Rattus norvegicus: one gene and its partner. The protein of the gene in region 1 interacts with the protein of each later gene in a biochemical or structural test. Links are inferred from orthologs where the notes say so. Each region holds a gene or a part of one and is shown in the gene's direction. Other genes may lie near its edges. The genes, in order: Nxf1 and Nup62.

The links.
Region 2: the proteins of Nxf1 (region 1) and Nup62 form a complex in vitro, tested with the Homo sapiens proteins (3 studies listed by BioGRID and IntAct). The link is inferred for Rattus norvegicus from reciprocal best matches to the Homo sapiens genes NXF1 and NUP62.

The regions. Positions count from the first base shown.
Region 1 is NC_086019.1:215,081,283-215,089,875, forward strand, and holds the start of Nxf1 (nuclear RNA export factor 1), read left to right. Parts: upstream 1-3,280; 5' UTR 3,281-3,348; coding exon 3,349-3,376; intron 3,377-7,949; coding exon 7,950-8,133; intron 8,134-8,327; coding exon 8,328-8,481; intron 8,482-8,593. Other genes in the region: Stx5 (syntaxin-5), read left to right, coding at 670-829.
Region 2 is NC_086019.1:104,432,098-104,440,760, forward strand, and holds the start of Nup62 (nuclear pore glycoprotein p62), read left to right. Parts: upstream 1-3,930; 5' UTR 3,931-3,989; exon of another isoform or gene 3,990-5,514; intron 5,515-5,651; exon of another isoform or gene 5,652-7,093; intron 7,094-8,663. Other genes in the region: Atf5 (cyclic AMP-dependent transcription factor ATF-5), read right to left, coding at 584-1,251, 2,504-2,681. UniProt on the Homo sapiens protein: Essential component of the nuclear pore complex. The N-terminal is probably involved in nucleocytoplasmic transport.

The DNA.
Region 1 (8,593 bases):
TCATTATTGGAAAAAAAAAGCAGGAAATGTTTATGAGTAAAACTTACAGCATTTGGGGTACTCATATAGATTGGAGGCTCATTTAACTCACTGAAAATTAAAACCTCATGAGGAGCTGGAGAGATGGCTCAGTGATTAAGAGCACTGACTGCTCTTCCAGAGGTCCTGAGTTCAATTCCCAGCAACCACATGGTGGCTCTCAACCATCTGTAATGGGATCTCCTACCCTCTTCTGGTGTGGCTGAAGACAGTGACAGTGTACTCACATACATAAAATAAATAAGTCTTTAAATAAAAAAAAAAAACAGATAAATAAGAAATCTCATGAAAGGAGTAGGGTTTATATCATTTATCTCATTTTTTAGATGTGGAAAATAAGACTGGTTAAATAATTCAATCATAAGCTAATAACTGGCAGGACACTTTAAAGCTAGAATCAAACATGATCTACTACCCTCAAAAAACTTGATATGTGTGTGTGTGTGTGTGTGTGTATGTATGTATGTATGTATGTATGTATGTGTATACACACACACACACACACACAGTTAACGTAGTATCAAATACTTTTTACTTCTACATATTGTGATCAGCTTCCCATATCAATAAATGGATGTCTTTAACCTTCTTCAACCCAGTGTTCCTCTCTGTTTTATCTCCTGTTTCCAGGATTGACGAGAATGTGCTTGGAGCCCAGCTGGATGTTGAGGCCGCCCATTCAGAGATCCTCAAGTACTTCCAGTCAGTCACCTCCAATCGGTGGCTCATGGTCAAAATCTTCCTCATCCTCATTGTCTTCTTCATCATCTTTGTGGTCTTCCTTGCCTGAACCCTCCTCCCTCATTCTGAGCCACTCCATGGAGGGCCTGGAACCCTTCTGGAAGGACAGGTGGCCACTATTGCCACTGAGCCTGTGCAGGGTAGTTGGGAGAAAGGCCATTTCCTTGGAACTGCTAAGAATGGCCAGTGTCCCTGATTCCCCACCCTTGTCTCTGGCCACTCTGTCCTACCCTCAGGCCCATGAAACACACTGGTTCTGGATTTGGCCTCTGCTGTGAAGTGGCAGGGAACAGAAGCCAGCTAGGGCCAGTGGGGAGGTTGTCTCTACCATGAGATTTTTATAAACCCAGACCAGCCTCCCCTAAAGGTAACTGGCAGCAAGAGGAAACAATGCCCTTCCTTGCCTTCTGGAGAGTGAGGTGAGGAAGTAAAACTATCCCAGGGACCAACTTAATCATCTGGGTCATCTAGAACTTGACTGCCACCTTCTCCTCACCATGTGAGGTGGGGGGGGCTCTGAGCCCTACAGTTGCACAAACCTGACTTTGGCTACTGGTGACTCTCAATCTGCCAAACATGCTGCAGCCTGTTTCCTCCCAATTACAGCAAGACTGTCAGCCTCACTAGTGATGTTGTCGTTTCTGGGTGGGATCGTCGTGGGCTTCCGCAGCCAGCAAACCACTGCTTAATACCAGAACCAAAAGGGTTAAGTTGGTGGCTTTGACAGCCCCCATTGATAGGCAGAGCAGCTTTGGAGCTCTGTACCCACAACTCCCTCTTAAAAGGGAGTGGCCAAGTAACAACAGCACTAAATTAGAATTTTCCTTTGAACTGGAGCTAAGTGGACTCATTATTGGGTGTCAACTTCTAGGGCTGTCCCAAACAGTTTGAGCCTGTTTAACCTGTATCTTCAAATCACCTGGTCCTGATTTTTGAACTGAGTGAAGCAAGAGCTCTGCTGCTGGGTGAAGAGCATTTGTGCCCAGCTCCAATTTGTACCCAGCTCTTTGGCACCTTCTAAGATCCTGAGCAAAACCACTGCAAAATGGAGGTGACCCACCTAACACAGACCCTCAAGGGAGATTAATGAGTTGTTTTGTCTTTCTGATCTGTGTTAAAGTCATGCTCCGTGCCTACCAGTGCCCCATCTGATTCCCCTCCTACAGCAGCATCTGGGTCCAAGGAATGGAGGAGAGTCCTAGTCACACCAAAGGTTTACTAGAAGAGCTCTTGGGTTTGCCATCTAAAAATTTCAACCAGCACTTGGGAGTTAGAAGCAAGTGGATCTCTTTTATTATTATTATTATTATTATTTTTTTTTTTTTTTTTTTATTCCGGAGCTGGGGACTGAACCCAGGGCCTTGTGCTTGCTAGGCAAGCGCTCTACCACTGAGCTAAATCCCCAACCTCGCAAGTGGATCTCTTGAGTTTGAGGCCAACTTGGTCTACAAAGCAAGTTTCAGGACAGCCAGAATTATACAGAAACCCTGTCTCAAACAAAACCACTCAATACTAGCAACTTTCCCTACCTACCTAGCTAACCTGGGTTTTACCAATTAGGCTTCAGCATGATGGCCAGGGCCTTGGGGGTGAAGATCATAGCTCACTAGATTACTAATTTTGTTTTGAGACCGTCTATGTAGCCTTCGCTATCTCTGTACTGGCTATGTCGACAAAAATACTGGTACTAAGACTAAAGCTTTTTTTTTTTTTTTTTTTTTGAGGCAGGGCCTCTACAAGCTCTGGCTATTCTAGAAATTTCTATAGAGCTGAGACTGGCCTCAAATTTAAAGATCCACCTGCCTCTGCCTTCCAAATACGGGTTTAAAGACCTGCGCCACTACAGCTCGCCTGACGCTTTAATTAGGCAATTTGTAGAAGACCTACAAGGGAACAGGACAGGATTTCGCTTAATTCACACTTGGGTTTCACAATGGGCATGATACTGTGCCAGGCACGCTGGAGGAAGAAAAGTTGCGCATAAGTTAAGGTTCCTGTTCCAGTGGGGCTTACATTCCAATTTTCTATTTCGTCATAATCCGTCGTAGAGGCGAGAAAGGCTGGGAGGGCATAAGCCGGCGGCTGGCAAGGAACTGCGCTGCGACTTACACGCTGCCGGGATCCCACCTGCGTGGACTGTGATCCGTTACTCCCGTTCAGAGGCCAGGTCTCCATTCTTCTGTGTAGCTCTCGTCCCTGCTCCTGAGTTCAGGGCTAAAGCAGACCGCTCAGCTCCAGCGCAAACCTCAGCGCTGCGGGCCAGCGGAGAAGTAGGAAGGCGGGGCCGACCTACAAGCCATCGCGCCCCGAGCTCCGGCCGTGGGCGGGCCTCGGAGGGCCTGGCCACGCCTCCGAGCGGCCGCCCTGCTTCTGCGCAGGCTCAGAGAGCGCGTTCCTGCCCCGCGGCACCGCCCACATCCTGGGGACGTCGGCTGCGCGCGACGTGCTTCGCCGGATAAATGCGGTGGCGCCGGTCGTAGGAGAGCTTCTGTCCTGAGCGCCAAGGCGTCCGGGTGTTTGGTGGCGTCAGGTTCTGCGCCTGAGCCCGCCCCTGTACCTGCCTGTGCCATGGCGGACGAAGGGAAGTCATACAACGGTTAGTGCGGGGCCTCGGGCCGGGAGGCGACGCGGTGGGTCAGGGTGGGCGGCCCCGGCCTAGGCCTCAGCCCGGGGGCGGGAGGCCGCGAGGAGCCCTACGTCCGTAGGTAGCGGTGGCCGCGCGGGCAGGGGGCGCGGGACGCCGCGGGACCCGGGGACTCCAGAGTCGCCCGGATTCTGGCGTTGGAGGACCTGTGGCTCAGGGGTGAGGTGACAAGATTTCCTTTCAACTTTGAGGGTGGTTGATGCCTGTCAGTTCAGTTTGGCAGCCGGACTCTTCCTTTAAATGTGAGTCAGTAGTCAGGCTACCCTGGTGCCCTATTTTTTTTTTTTTTTTAAATACGATCAGTCTGTTCTTGCAGCTTGCTGCTTATTGTTTACCCAGTTTTCTAGCCCGCACACCTACCCTGACTTGTTAATTCATTGTGGTGGTTAGGACAGTATGACAGCTGAGGTTTGAATCTGAAGTTGGCTGTGCTAACCCCGAGTGAGTTAAACTTTGAGGCCTTGTTTTCCATCTCTTTCATGTGGGTACTTGTCTCCCGTGTCCCGTGTGTGTGTGTGTGTGTGTGTGTGTGTGTGTGTGTGTGTGTGTGTGTGTGTGTGTGTGAGAGAGAGAGAGAGAGAGAGAGAGAGAGAGAGAGAGAGAGAGAGAGATCATTTTATTAAGTGCCTCAAACACAGTGACTGGAGTGGGGATTTTTCAGTGAACCGTACTTGGACTGTCTCTTTAATGTATTCCTTTTTACTAGGGTCACTTGATATTAGGTATTAGATACTAGAAATTAGGTAGATTTCTTTGAAAGTTATGAATCTTTTTTTGTGCTTGTGTGGTGCTGATGACTTATCTATGCCTGAAAAATCTCTACCCAATGACCTTTTATTTTAATTCAAATATAATTGATCTCCTTCCTCCAGCCACTCACCTGTCATCCACTCCTCTCGCCAAATTCATGCAACTTGCTGAGTTCATTTAGTGTTATGTATTAGTTTGTAAAGCATACCATTTGGGATTGGCTAGCCATTTGGGGAGTTTGTCCCTTGGAAAGGCTAATTCTCCCTTATAGGGTCAGCCCAGGCTGGCTTCAGTCAGTCTTACTGTGTCAGCTTCCCAAGCTCAGCATTGCAGGCAGGCATGTGCCACCCACCATGCCTGCCTCACAGATGTTTACGGTTTACTTTTTTTTTTTTTTTTTTTTTTTTTTTGGTTCTAGGGTTGAACTTAAGGTCTGACAAAAGGTAAATAAATAGAACCAAGTGTAGTAGTACATTGTTTAAGGTAAGAGGATCAGAGAGGTTCAAGGTCATCCTCCACTACATACATAGTGTGCCCGGCTTTCTGTTCTCCCACAGAGCTATATTCCCATCCCTTGTTATTTTTTTGAGATGGTTTGCCAAGTTGCCCAGACTGACTTGAAGTTTTGAATTCTGCCTCAGCCTCAGTCTGGGTGATCTTTTTGAGTGTGGAAGGATAGACAAGCACTTTATCAACTAATCAGTATCCTTAGCCCTCCTTTTATTCGTTTTGTCTATATATAGGCAGACCAAACACTAAGAGAAACAGGGTTTCAATCCCAGTCTGGCCTTAAACTCTGTGTAGCTCAGATCCTCTTCCCTTAAACGGTGTACTACTACACTTGGTTCTATTTATTTATTTATTTATGTATTTGTTTACTGAAACAGTGTCTCAAAGTGTAGTTCTGAATGATCTAGAACACACTGAAAAGACCAGGCTGGCTTTCAGAACTCTGCCACTGTCTGGAATTAAGTTGTGGGTCACAATGTTTGGCTTCTTTCCCTTTTTTTTTTTTTTTTTTTTCTTTTTGGTTCTTTTTTTTCGGAGCTGGGGACCGAACCCAGGGCCTTACGCTTCCTAGGTAAGCGCTCTACGACTGAGCTAAATCCCCAGCCCCGCTTCTTTCCCTTTTTAAGGTATACTCTTAGCTGATCTGGAACTTGGATTCCTCCTGCTTCAAACACTAGTTATATTGGAGGACTCTAATGTGGAACCTGCACCAGACCCTGAATCTAGAAGTTCCTTGAGGTGTTTTTTTTTTTCCCCAAAGAAACTAGCATTTCCTAAATTCAGAGTGCAGAAGATGGTAGTTGTTTTTAAGAGACTTTACATCATATTTGTAAGAATTCTTTATTTTTCGAGAATCTCATGTAGCCCAGGATGGCTTTGAAAACTTTGTGTAATTGAAGCCTCCCCTTCCCAATTGCCAGGATTACAGGTGTTGGCCACAACATCTGGCTCTGTAACCATCAATTGTACAGCAAGTGGCAGATTTCACGTGGTTTTTCAGGGGTCTGGTTAGATTTTGGGGTTGCTCACACTTCCACATTCTACTCTCTGTAGGAACTGGTTTCTGGGTATTTTTGTTTTTCTTTTTTCTTTCTTTCTTTTTTTTTTTTCCTTTTCTTTTTTTCAGAACTGGGGACCGAACCCAGGGCCTTGCGCTTGATAGGCAAGCGCTCTACCACTGAGCTAAATCCCCAACCCCTTTTTTCTTTAAATTCTAAATTTTCTGGCAATTTTATACATATAATACACAGTGTATTGTGATTGTGTGCCCCTTTCATTACTCTTTTGTTTTTACTTATTTACTTTGTTTACTTACTTTATTTAATGTATAAGTGCTCTGGTGCATGTACACCTGCATGCCAGAAGGGGGCATCAGATTCCTTTATAGATAATCTTGAACCACTGTGGGATTTGAACTCAGGACCTCTGTAAGAGCAGCCAGTGCTCTAAACCGTTGAGCCATCTCTCTAGCCCTACTCTTTTTTTTTTTTTTTAAAGATTTATTTATTTTATGTATATGAGCACACTGTTGCTGACACACCAGAAGAGGTCATTGGATCCAATTAAGGGTGGTTGTGAGCCACCATGTGGTTGCTGGGAATTGAAGTCAGGACCTCTGGGAAAGCAGCCAGTGCTCTTAAGCCCTGAGCCATCTCTCAGCTCCCTACTCTTTGTTTTTAAGAGTTTATTTTTTTTCTGTGTCTGAGTATTTTGCCTATGTGTTTATTTTTCTATCATGTGTATGTCTGGTGCCTGCAGAGGCTGGAAGAGGACATTGGCTTCCCTGGAGTTAACTACAGAGGCCACTTCCATGCAGATATCAGAGCCCTTGACAAAGGAAAGATCTCTATAGGACATCAACATCAGGAACAAGTTATTGGAAAACCTAGGAATATTGAAAAATAAAAGGGTCAAGCATATACTCACGGAGACTCATTGCTTAAGAACACTTTCCAGAATACTAGCTTTGATTCTCAGCACCTACACTACAGTGCACAGCTGTTAGCTACTGTGTGGGTGCTGGAAGCCCATTCTGGGTCCTTTAGAAGAGCAGCTAGTGCTCTAATCATTGAGTGATTTTTTTCCCCCCCAGCCTCTAACCTACTGAGTTTAGTTAAGGTTGTTCATATGAACTTCTGGGGAGGCTCTTCCCTTCTGCCTTTTTTTTTTTTTTTCTTTTTCTTTTTCTTTTTTTTCGGAGCTGGGGACCGAACCCAGGGCCTTTTGCTTGCTAGACAAGCGCTCTACCACTGAGCTAAATGCCCACCCCGCAGCTAGTTTTCTTTTTTTTTTTTTTTTCCAGAGCTGGGGACCGAACCCAGGGCCTTGCGCTCCTAGGCAAGCGCTCTACCACTGAGCTAAATCCCCAACCCCCGCAGCTAGTTTTCTTAAGAACACTATTCCTAGCCCAAACACAGAGGCTTCCCAGAAGCTAATGGGAGCAGATGTGGAAAAAGAGAAACACTGGATCTGGGGGGAGAAAGGAGTTGGGTGGGGGAAGACTGGGAGAAGTGGAGGGAGGAGAAGCCCCAGTCAGAATATATTGTATAAAAAAAGAGGGGCTGGGGATTTAGCTCAGTGGTAGAGCGCTTACCTAGGAAGCGCAAGGCCCTGGGTTCGGTCCCCAGCTCCGAAAAAAAGAACCAAAAAAAAAAAAAAAAAAAAGAATAAGTAGGGGCTGAAGAGATGGCTCTGCTCTTCCAGAGGTCCTGAGTTCAATTCCCAGCACCAACATGGTGGCTCACAACCATCTGTAATGGGCATCTGATGTCCTCTTCTGGTGTATCTGAAGACAGCAACAGTATATTCACATATATAAAATAAATAAGTCTTTTTTTTTTAAAGGGATAAATAAAAAAAAAAAGGCATCTTACAGGGGGTGGTGGCTCATTTAATCCCAGCACCTGGGGAGGTAGAGGCAGGTGAATCTACAAGGCCAACTTGGTCTACAGTTAGTTCTAGGATAGCCAGAGCTACACAGAGAAACCCTGTGATGGCAGTGTGGTAAGTTATTTCTCCAGTGCCCTGAGGTACATTCTTGACCCTTTTCCAACATCCCTATAGTTTCCAATAACTTGTTCATGATATTGATGTCCTAGAGAAAGTTCTTTGCTCTGGCTAGGGCATAGGCATCTCTATGGAGGAAGCCTTTGTAGTTAAAATCTGTTTTTTCTAAGAGTACAGAGTACTAGAAACTGGTGGTTACACCAAGGTAACTAGGACCCCTCATATATTTACTAATTTCTGTGTCTGTTTCCATCTCCAGAACATGATGACCGTGTTAGTTTCCCACAAAGAAGAAAGAAAGGTCGGGGGCCTTTCCGATGGAAGTGTGGTGAGGGGAATCGTAGGTCTGGAAGAGGTGGTTCTGGTATACGGTCTTCCCGGTTTGAGGAAGATGATGGAGATGTGGCAATGAATGATCCCCAGGATGGCCCCCGAGTGAGATAGTAAGTGAATAATTGGTCTGCTTTGAATAGTGACCCACTGAATTATGTAGACCTGTTATTTATTGTCTTTGTCGTTTCTCGTCTCACCTTGTAAAGTGATACTTGACAGAATCAGTTTAGTAGCTGTAGTTTCCCTAGCAGGACTGGTTCATCTTCCCTAGTGTTTATGGAAATGTAATTCTGCTTCCCAACAGCAACCCCTATACCAGCCGACCTAACCGTCGGAGAGATACTTGGCATGATCGAGATCGGATTCATGTTACTGTACGGAGAGACAGAGCTCCTCAAGAAAGAGGAGGTGCTGGCACCAGTCAAGATGGGACCACCAAGAACTGGTTCAAGATTACAGTGAGTACTTGGATGAGTAAGGTGGTTCAGAAAACAGGACTGGACTCAGTCAGAGTGTTTTGACACCTGCCTCTAGCTCCTCAAATGTGTTTTCTCTAATGTTTACTCACTC
Region 2 (8,663 bases), about 110 Mb from region 1:
GGAAAGTCTGCATTTTATTTGAGCCCACAACCCCTGGAGGATCAGCCCCCACCAGATGCAACCCTTCCCCCACACCTTCACAAAACACTGATTCTCTCACAGAGCTAAAATGACACCCTAGTTACCAACTACAGCCACCCCTTCCTGTCCCTAGGCCAGTATAGCCTTCTATTCTGAGGACTTGGTTCCCTTTCCTCGGCTGGCTTCTCACTTGTATTCTAAGTCCTCTCCTTAAAACCCTCCCTCCCTGACTAGGTTCTCATGTGCACAATCATCCAGAGTGGCTTCCTGCCTAATGTCCATGCCAGGCCTGGCAGCCTCCCCCCGACACCCAACTAGGACTACCTGCAAAAACACACTTGTTTTAAGACTCCAGAGACCAGGGATCAGGCTGGCTCCTCTGATTCCCTGAGGGCCTTGGTTTCTCAGTTGCACTGAAGGGGTACAGAAACTGACTATGCCAAATAACCCATAATGGGGATAGGCAGAGGGGAGACCTAGACACGGATGCACAGGGAAGTGAAATGGAGGGACAGGGTGAAGCTGGAGGCACAGGTACACCAGAACTGCCTCCTCCTGTACCCTAGGCACTGCGGGTCCTCTGGCTTCGTGCCTTATACACCTCAATTAGCAGATCCTTCACATACTGGATCTCCCGTTCCACTGACTCTGCCCTCTCCCTCAGCTCCCGATTCCGCGCCTCTAGCCCTTGGCACTCGCCCTCCAGGGCCTCGCCCTCTGCCCGCTTCCTCTGGCGGTACCTGAGAGCAGCTGACTTATTCTGGTCTCTCTTCTTTTGCTTGCGGTCCCCTCGGGTGCTGGCAGGACTAGGATAGGGGGCTGGTCGGGAGGGTGAAGGCAGAGGGGCCAGAGGAGGAGGCTGCTGGGGGACAGGCAGGGTTGTCAAGCCTGAATCCCCTGGCCCAGCCTCACTGCGGCAGTAAACAGCTAGCAAGTCCAGGGTATCCAGGGTAGGAGGCTGCGGGAGATCAAAGGTGGGCAAGGGTAAGGGCAGGGGCAGAGAGGGTGCTGGGGGTGGGGGTGGAGGTGGGGAGGGCGGTGGAAGGAGTGGGGCATCAAGGAAGAAGTCTTCCATCTGTTCTAGCTCCTTCTTGAGTAGGGATGCCATGGCTTCCAGGTCAGGGGGGGCAGGGGAGGGTGGGGGGAGAGTGCCTGGGGGCAGAGGGGCCTCCAGAGGAAGGAGGGCTGTGAAGTCCACCCGCTCGGTCATCCAATCAGAGAAGCCGTCACCTGAGGATGTGGGGGGAGGACATAAAAATCTCTAAGGTCTGTGCTTTATCCACTTGGTGTTCATTCATGCCCCATTCACTCAATGTGACAAGTGACCAGCCAGCCAACCATCCAATCTATAGACCTGTCAGCAACCAGTGAGTTAGGGAAGAAACTAATCAACCAATCAACCAACCAGCTAGCTAGTTTACCCATCAAGCCACTAACTAATGAACTAACCAACCAGCCAGCCAGCCAGCCAATCATACCTAGTTCATCAGCCAACCACCCAACAAATCATTAATCAATGAACAAGACAGCCAGCCAATCATCCAATCAGTTCACCAGGCCACCTGCTAATAAACTAATCAACTCATTAGCCAATCAATGAACAAGCCAACCAATGATTCAAATCAGTCAACCAACCGATTAATTGACCAACTAACCGATGAAATAATCAGTCAGCCACTCAGTGAAGCACTCGCCCAACTAATGGCCCACCCGACGAAGGTCAGCTCCCATCTCTATAATCCTTCTCCTTGACCAGGTTGGTCGACTGCACCCCACACTAGTGTCTCCTCTCTTTCCCTCACTTGTTTACTTATCTATTGTCGACAGAGTCTTGTGTAGACTAGGATAGCCTTGGACCTGTTCTGTAGTCTGTAGCTGAGGACAACCCTTAAACTTCTGACTCTCTCCCAGAGTGCTGGGATTATACTCACACACTTTCTCTCCTCCCTCCCCCCTCTGTGTGTTTGCGTGTGTGGGCGTGACTCTCTCCATCTTTATTTGCTCTCCTTTTGTGTTTCTCAGATGTTTGACAACTATGTTCTTACCAGGCTGCCTAGGTTGGCCTGGGCTCAAGAGGATGAGAAGCCTCTAACAGGGGAAGTTATGGACATAAGCCACCAGGCACAGTCTAGGACAACCATCTGTTGACTGCCTGCCTCAGAATCTCTGAGATAGCGCTCCCCTCAGGACTTATCATGGCTCCCTTTGCCCATCCCTTAGCCCTCAATCCAGAGGTTGTCTACTTAGAGAAGGCTGACTTCTCAACCATGTCTTCCTTTCAGCTAAGCTTTGGCTTCCCACCTCTGTCTCCTGATGCTTCCACGAGCTTTGGTATCCCTTGCTCTGCACCTTGCACATGAAGAACAGGGCTGGGCACACTGCAGGCCCTCTGTACTGATCTTGTGAATGAATAAATCCTTCCTTTTCTGTCCTTCCACACCCCGCCACCTTAACCCACCTCTCTTTTTCACCTGTTTCTTACCTGCCAGGGGCTCTCCCCCCCCTGGAAGCCCGCCCTCCAGGGCACCCCCAAGGACCTCATAGGGGCCCAGGGGGGCAGGGGCCAGGGGGAGTTTCCCATAGTCTACGAGCCAGCCCAGCCCGCTAGCTGGGAGCAGGGCCCTGTCCAGCTCCAGTCCCAGGGTCGCCAGGAGTGACATGGCTGAGGCACAGGTGCAGGGCTGCGATGGCAATGGAGGCTGCACCAACAACTGGGAGGCAGCGTGGAAGATTGTTCAGCTGGGTGAAGACAGGCACCAAGGCGAAGGTGGAGGGCCTGTGAGGAAGACAAGGTGGCGTGGGTGGGGTTGAGTCAAAGCTGCTTGACCCACAAGCTACCCACACTTTTCTTCTTTCTGCAAATTCCAGAGCTCCATACATTCCCAAGGCAACTTTTGGAAACTCCCCAGCCCCATCTCCTCCCTCAACACAGAAACCTAGTGTTCTCCCAGGGGAATTACTTCCAGCCCCTCCTACCTACCTCATCTTATTGCTCTTCGTAAAAAAATTCAATCCCAAGGTAATTTTATTTTCTTCTAGCCGTGCCCCTTCCGCATCAATATTTTCTTTAGACTATACGCCCTTTAGAGTTCACAGGGGTTCCCAGAATAATTCTGCCATGCCTTGGGCCCTTCATCAGTGTTACACACACAAATCCCACTCTTCCCTTAAAAGTTTTAGGTGACTTCTACAGATTCTACGGGAAGCCCCGCCCACACTCCTGTCTGTCAAGTCAGTTCCCGCCCCCAACTAGCAAGTCCCTAGAGGCCCCGCCCCTTGGTTCTAGCTCCAAGTCTTTCTTAAAGGTGTTCTTTAGCCTTCCCTGTCAATCTAAGCCAGTCCCCGCCCCAGCAGGTGCCTGATTGGAGGGAAGTTGGACCAGTGTCAGAGCCTCGAGGAACTCCACCCTTCCTCGCTGATTGCTCGCTAAGCCGCAAGACGAAAGCTCAGACCCTGGACCGGATTCATTGTTACGCCACTACCCTCCTGGGGGGACCAGTGCGTGTGTTTAGCCAATTACCGGCCGCCCTCCGTAGTTCAGGCCGGGAATAAGGTAATGCGCATGCGCAATAGAGTGTGGGTTCGTATCCTCTGAGGGGAAAGGAGGAAGAGGGTCTGTGAATTAGTGCGCAGGCGCAATGGCGCGCGAACCGACCTTAAAAGCCCCCAGACTCTGCGGAAGCACACCCTCCCCCACGCCTGGAGCCTAGTGCGCTTGCTCAGCGGATGCGCCGGCCACCGACTTCCCTCTTCTGCGCCTGCGCGACCGTGGTTCCTCATATCGTCTTCCCCACCCCCTCCCCACGAGGCTGACCCGTGAAGCCCCGCGAGCTCTGTGAAAGGGCGGGAAAGGCGGTTGGAGAGGGAGGGGCGAGCGGTTACTCACTCCATGGCTGCGAAAAGGAGAGGAGGCAACGGCGGCGGCGGCCTCAGTTGAAGAGTCGGTGTGAGCAGAGAGTGAAGTCGCGGTGAGCGCGGAAACGGGGCGGGGGACACGACGAGATCGCGGCTACAGAGCCATTGCACGGGCGGAGGCGGCGTGGCAGGAGCGTTAAGGGAGACTGCTGAGAGGGTTGAAAATGAGGCGGCCCCGGGGCCTGGGAACAAATATACCGGGGGCGGCGCAGCGCGGGATGCCTGGATCCCTCCGCGCTCCGCCCTCGCGGGGCCCCGACGGGGCGGTGGCGACCCCGGGCCCGCCATGTCGCCCTGACCCTTCACTCACTGCTTCAGGCTGGGGGCCCGGACTCTGTTTCCTGTATCGGTTGGATCCTATTCGATCTCTCTTACACCCGTAACCAGCTCATCCCGTTATCTATCCCTGCTTCACAAATTTGCCACCAGTCCCTAAAACCGATGTCGCTCCGAGAGACCTCGTGGGTTAAGCTCATCGCGGAATGGCGAGTTCAAGCTAGCTTAGGCTTCATAGACGAGTTCAAGGGAGCAACAGCGAGATGTCGCTGTTTATAGATATACGCACAAATATACCAGCTATGGAAAGTAGGCCACGGAGTCCTAATCAGGACTCTTAAACCTTCTTGTTTGTTTTAACGTTTATTGTGTATGTATGTGGTGGTCAAAGAAGAGCTAGCAGGAGTTGGTTCTCCTACTATATAGTAGGGTCCCAGGGATGGAACTCAGGTCAGATTGTTTGGCAGCCTTTCTCCACTGAGTCATTTCATCTACTACTAAAATCGTTTTATTTTCTTTTAGATTAAGCCCCCACCCCTGGGAGGGGGCCTGATTTCACCCCTTTTTATCTCCCTACCCCCGATTCTTAGCCAGCCAACATATCCATATGATCATTCTGTGTGTCCCACCTCCAAGGTTTCTGTTTCCAGCCATCCCTACTTGCTACATGCTGTGCTCATCATGCCACCCTCTTAGGTTTTGCCCCTTGCTCTGACTTCCTTGCAGTCCTTGCTCTCTTGCTGACCCCACTAGATAAATTGTTTCTTGATCCTGTCTGTCCCCCAGGATGATGGGGCGGTTTTCCGCCCCGTGTTCGAGTATAGCCGTCATTCCATGTGGAAGCCAGTCAGCCTATCATATTTGTAGCAGCTGAGAGACTGAATGGGTGGAGATGGAACTCAAGAGTGCTTGCCTGTTGCACACAAGAACCTTAGCACCCAGCACCACATGGACGGTGCTTGGTAGTTGTCTATATTCCCAGCATTTGGAAGATGGAAGCAGAAGGAATCATGAATTCAAGGTCATACTGGCTGGCCTCAGTGTGTTTTTAAAAAGAAAAAGCTCAAAGGCCAGGCCTGGTATCTTACCTACTTAAGAGGCCAAGGCGGGAGTATTGGAAGTCAAGGTCAGGGCCTGAGCTGCTTTGAGATAGTTCAGGTGGTAATCTCTAAACCCAACCCTCTTGAGTTCCATCCCCAGAACCCAAAAGCAACTCTATAGACAGACGGTTGTCCTCTGGCCTTCACCATCACCACGTGTGGTGACAGGTCTGAATGCTGACTAGGAGTGTGATTTAAAAAAAAAAAGTTCATGGCTTGCCTGGACTAGAAAGTGAGTTCTTAGCCTTCTAGGGAACTTACAAAGACCCTGATTTAAAAAAACAATTATACTGGGCTGGGGGTGGGGGATTGGTGGCAGAGTATTGGCTAGAGTGCTGCTTTCCAGGACCTGGTTTCTATTCCTGGTACTGTAAAAGAAAAAAGATTGGAGCAGGTGAGGAAAACTGATTTTGAAAGTTACAAGCAGGAAGTCCTTGGCAATTTTACTCTTGGAGTGGGCTCTCTTAAAAGATTTATGTATGAGTACACTGTAGCTGTCTTCAGACACACCAGAAGAGGGTATCAGATCCCATTACAGATGGTTGTGAGCCACCATGTGGTTGCTGGGAATTGAACTCAGGACCTTTGGATGGGTCAGTGTTTTTTTTTTTTTTTTTTTTTTTTCCCAGAGCTGGGGACCGAACCCAGGGCCTTACGCTTGCTAGGCAAGCACTCTACCACTGGGCTAAATCCCCAACCACCACCACCACCCCTTTTTTCTTTTTTTCGGAGCTGGGGACCAAACCCAGGGCCTTGCGCTTGCTAGGCAAGTGCTTTACCACTGAGCCAAATCCCCAACCCGGGTCAGTGTTCTTAAGCGCTGAGACATCTCTCCAGCCTGGAGTGGGCACTCGTATCTGCTGCCAGTACAGGTAACCATGAGATGTGATGTGTTCAGACTCCAGCCCTAGCTTACCAGCTATGGGCTGCATTAATTCTGTGTGGAGTCTGTTTAGACTAGATACTGATGCATAAAGGCTGCCACTAATACAGAAGTGGAATGGACCCATGGCTTCATGCATTGCATGCTAGACAGGCATTCTACCACCTGAGCTGCATCCCTGGGCCCCACAGGTGCCCTTTTTTATTTTTGAAACAGTATGCCATGTTGCAATGCCTATGGTCCTCCTTTCCTTGAATTTAGTATTTTAAAGTAAACTTTTGGAATGAGATAGGTTTCAAAGACAGTGCAGAGTGGGTACCAGCTCATAGTCTCTTCCCTGTGGTGCTTCCGTCACAGCCAAGGCTGCACAACCTTTTTCTGTCCTGGGGTCCCACCCAGATGCTTCCCCCACCCCTAAACCCATCTTAATTTCAGTTGTGCTTGGTGGTCATCCTTGGAGGCCTGCCACCCTGAGCTTTGGCCAGTACCCAGCCCATGCTATGTGTCCAACATGTGTGTTATTCTTTGTCTATAACCCTTACCCAGTCTCAAATGGCAGCCTAGTTTCTTTACTCTCAAAAAACAAACAAATTCTTTGGGGAGCCAGAAGCAAGGGTGGAGCTGCTTGGAACTCTTTTCCAGTGCGGAGGGACCTGAGCTAGGGAGTGAGGCGGCTGGTTGCAGGCAGTTGCATCAGCCGTGGCTCTGATGGGTAGGAAGGGGTAAGGGAATTCTCTGGGGACCACAGAGCACCTGGCAACAGCTCCTAGGTAGCAAAGACCTGGATAGGAGCCCCCTGGGCAGAACACAGCGAATCTGGGGCTTTGTCCTTAGAAGGGGCCTACCATTCCAAAGGCCCATAGCTTGCTTGTGAAGACAAGACTGAGGCCTAGAAAGGGTAAGAAGAATTATGCATGGCCACAGGTGTCTTTAATAGAACAGAACTCCCACCCTGCCTAACTTCCAGGGTTCTGTGAGGCCTCTAACCTGGACTATTAACTAGGTTTTGTTGTAGCTGTTATTGTTTTGGTTAGTATGCAAAGAGGTTTCATTGTGACACTTCAATATATCTCTGTTCTTATCCACCCAATTACTTCTTATCACCTGTACTGTTGGATGGAGCAAGCCCTGGTTTCTCAATCGCGGAAACAACCGGATGTGATGGAAAAGGATTGGGCTTTATAGGTTCTATTTATAGGCGAGAGTTTGCATGCTTACATCCTGGTGGGGTGGGCACCAACTTGCTAGTTGTCTTCCCAATGTGAGTGCACATGGCATTGTGTGTCTCTCATTTTCCTAAGTAAAAGGACCCACCTGGTACAGGGAGGGATGAGTCGTCATCAGCATAGTGTGATGCTTGGCTGCAGGTATAAGCTAAAGGTGTGGAGGGAAAGCTCTTCTAGGAGCTCAGAATCTGCTATGGGTTCTCTTCTGTCCTATCATACTTGTGCATTCTGATCTACCTAACAGATGGATATCTGTGCCCTTGACTATCTTCTCCAGTACATAGAGGACAAGGTCGGGACTTTGTTCTTTCCCAGAATCATACAGCCCCCACCACTGTGCTAGCCCTACCGCACCCCCATGGGCAGCAGCACTTCTGAATCGGTTGCTTGTGTGAGGACAGAAAACTTGATACCATAATTGCCACACTGTGCTTGGGAACAAGTAAAATTGGGTCATTAAGGCGGGGGGGGGGGTTGGAGGTGTGGGTGTCCTGGCAAACAAGGACAGGAGGGCCAAGGCCAGTTCAGCTGGGGAAAGGGCAGTGCCACGTGGCCAGGTGCTCAGAGTTCTCTAGAGCCCCTGTCCTTCCCTTACAAAACCTCACCTTTAGAAGTCACCGTTGTAACTTAATCACAGCGGAGTTGGCCTCATGCTTCTGTAACAGCTCCCACATTTTGGGTGTCACCTGTACTGGTTCATTCCCTCTTGCTGTTATGACAGGTTAAGAGGTTCAGACAGCACACACTTGCCACCTTATTAGAATTCTGAAGTTCCCAAGGCACTGGGTTTCTAGCCATACCAGTATCTAGAGGCTGCTTCTTTTTGAGGCCCCTTGTGTCCCTTCAGGTGTCTCTACCTCTGTCCAGCTTGAGGCTTCTTTCTTTGAGCTTCCTGCTTTTCTTATAGAAGCCCTGTGCTTGGGCATTGGGCTCTTACAGATAATCCAGGGTAATTGAGTCTTGAAGGAGCCCTCGTGTAACTTGTCTACATTGAATGCTTTGCCATGGGATAATGTTCACAGGCCCTAGGCACTGATAGATGAATCTGGGTAGCCATTACCCAACCTGCCACATCTTTTCTCTAATTCCGTGTCCTCTAGGAGATATGTGCTGTTAGCCTGGATACAGGGAAAGTAGGGGAGGGTTAGTGGTGAAAGGGCCCAGGCGTGAGGATTGAGCTGTTACAGAGGGCCGGGGGTCTTGCCGAGCACCCCACACCCACACCTAAAAGGGATTGCAGAT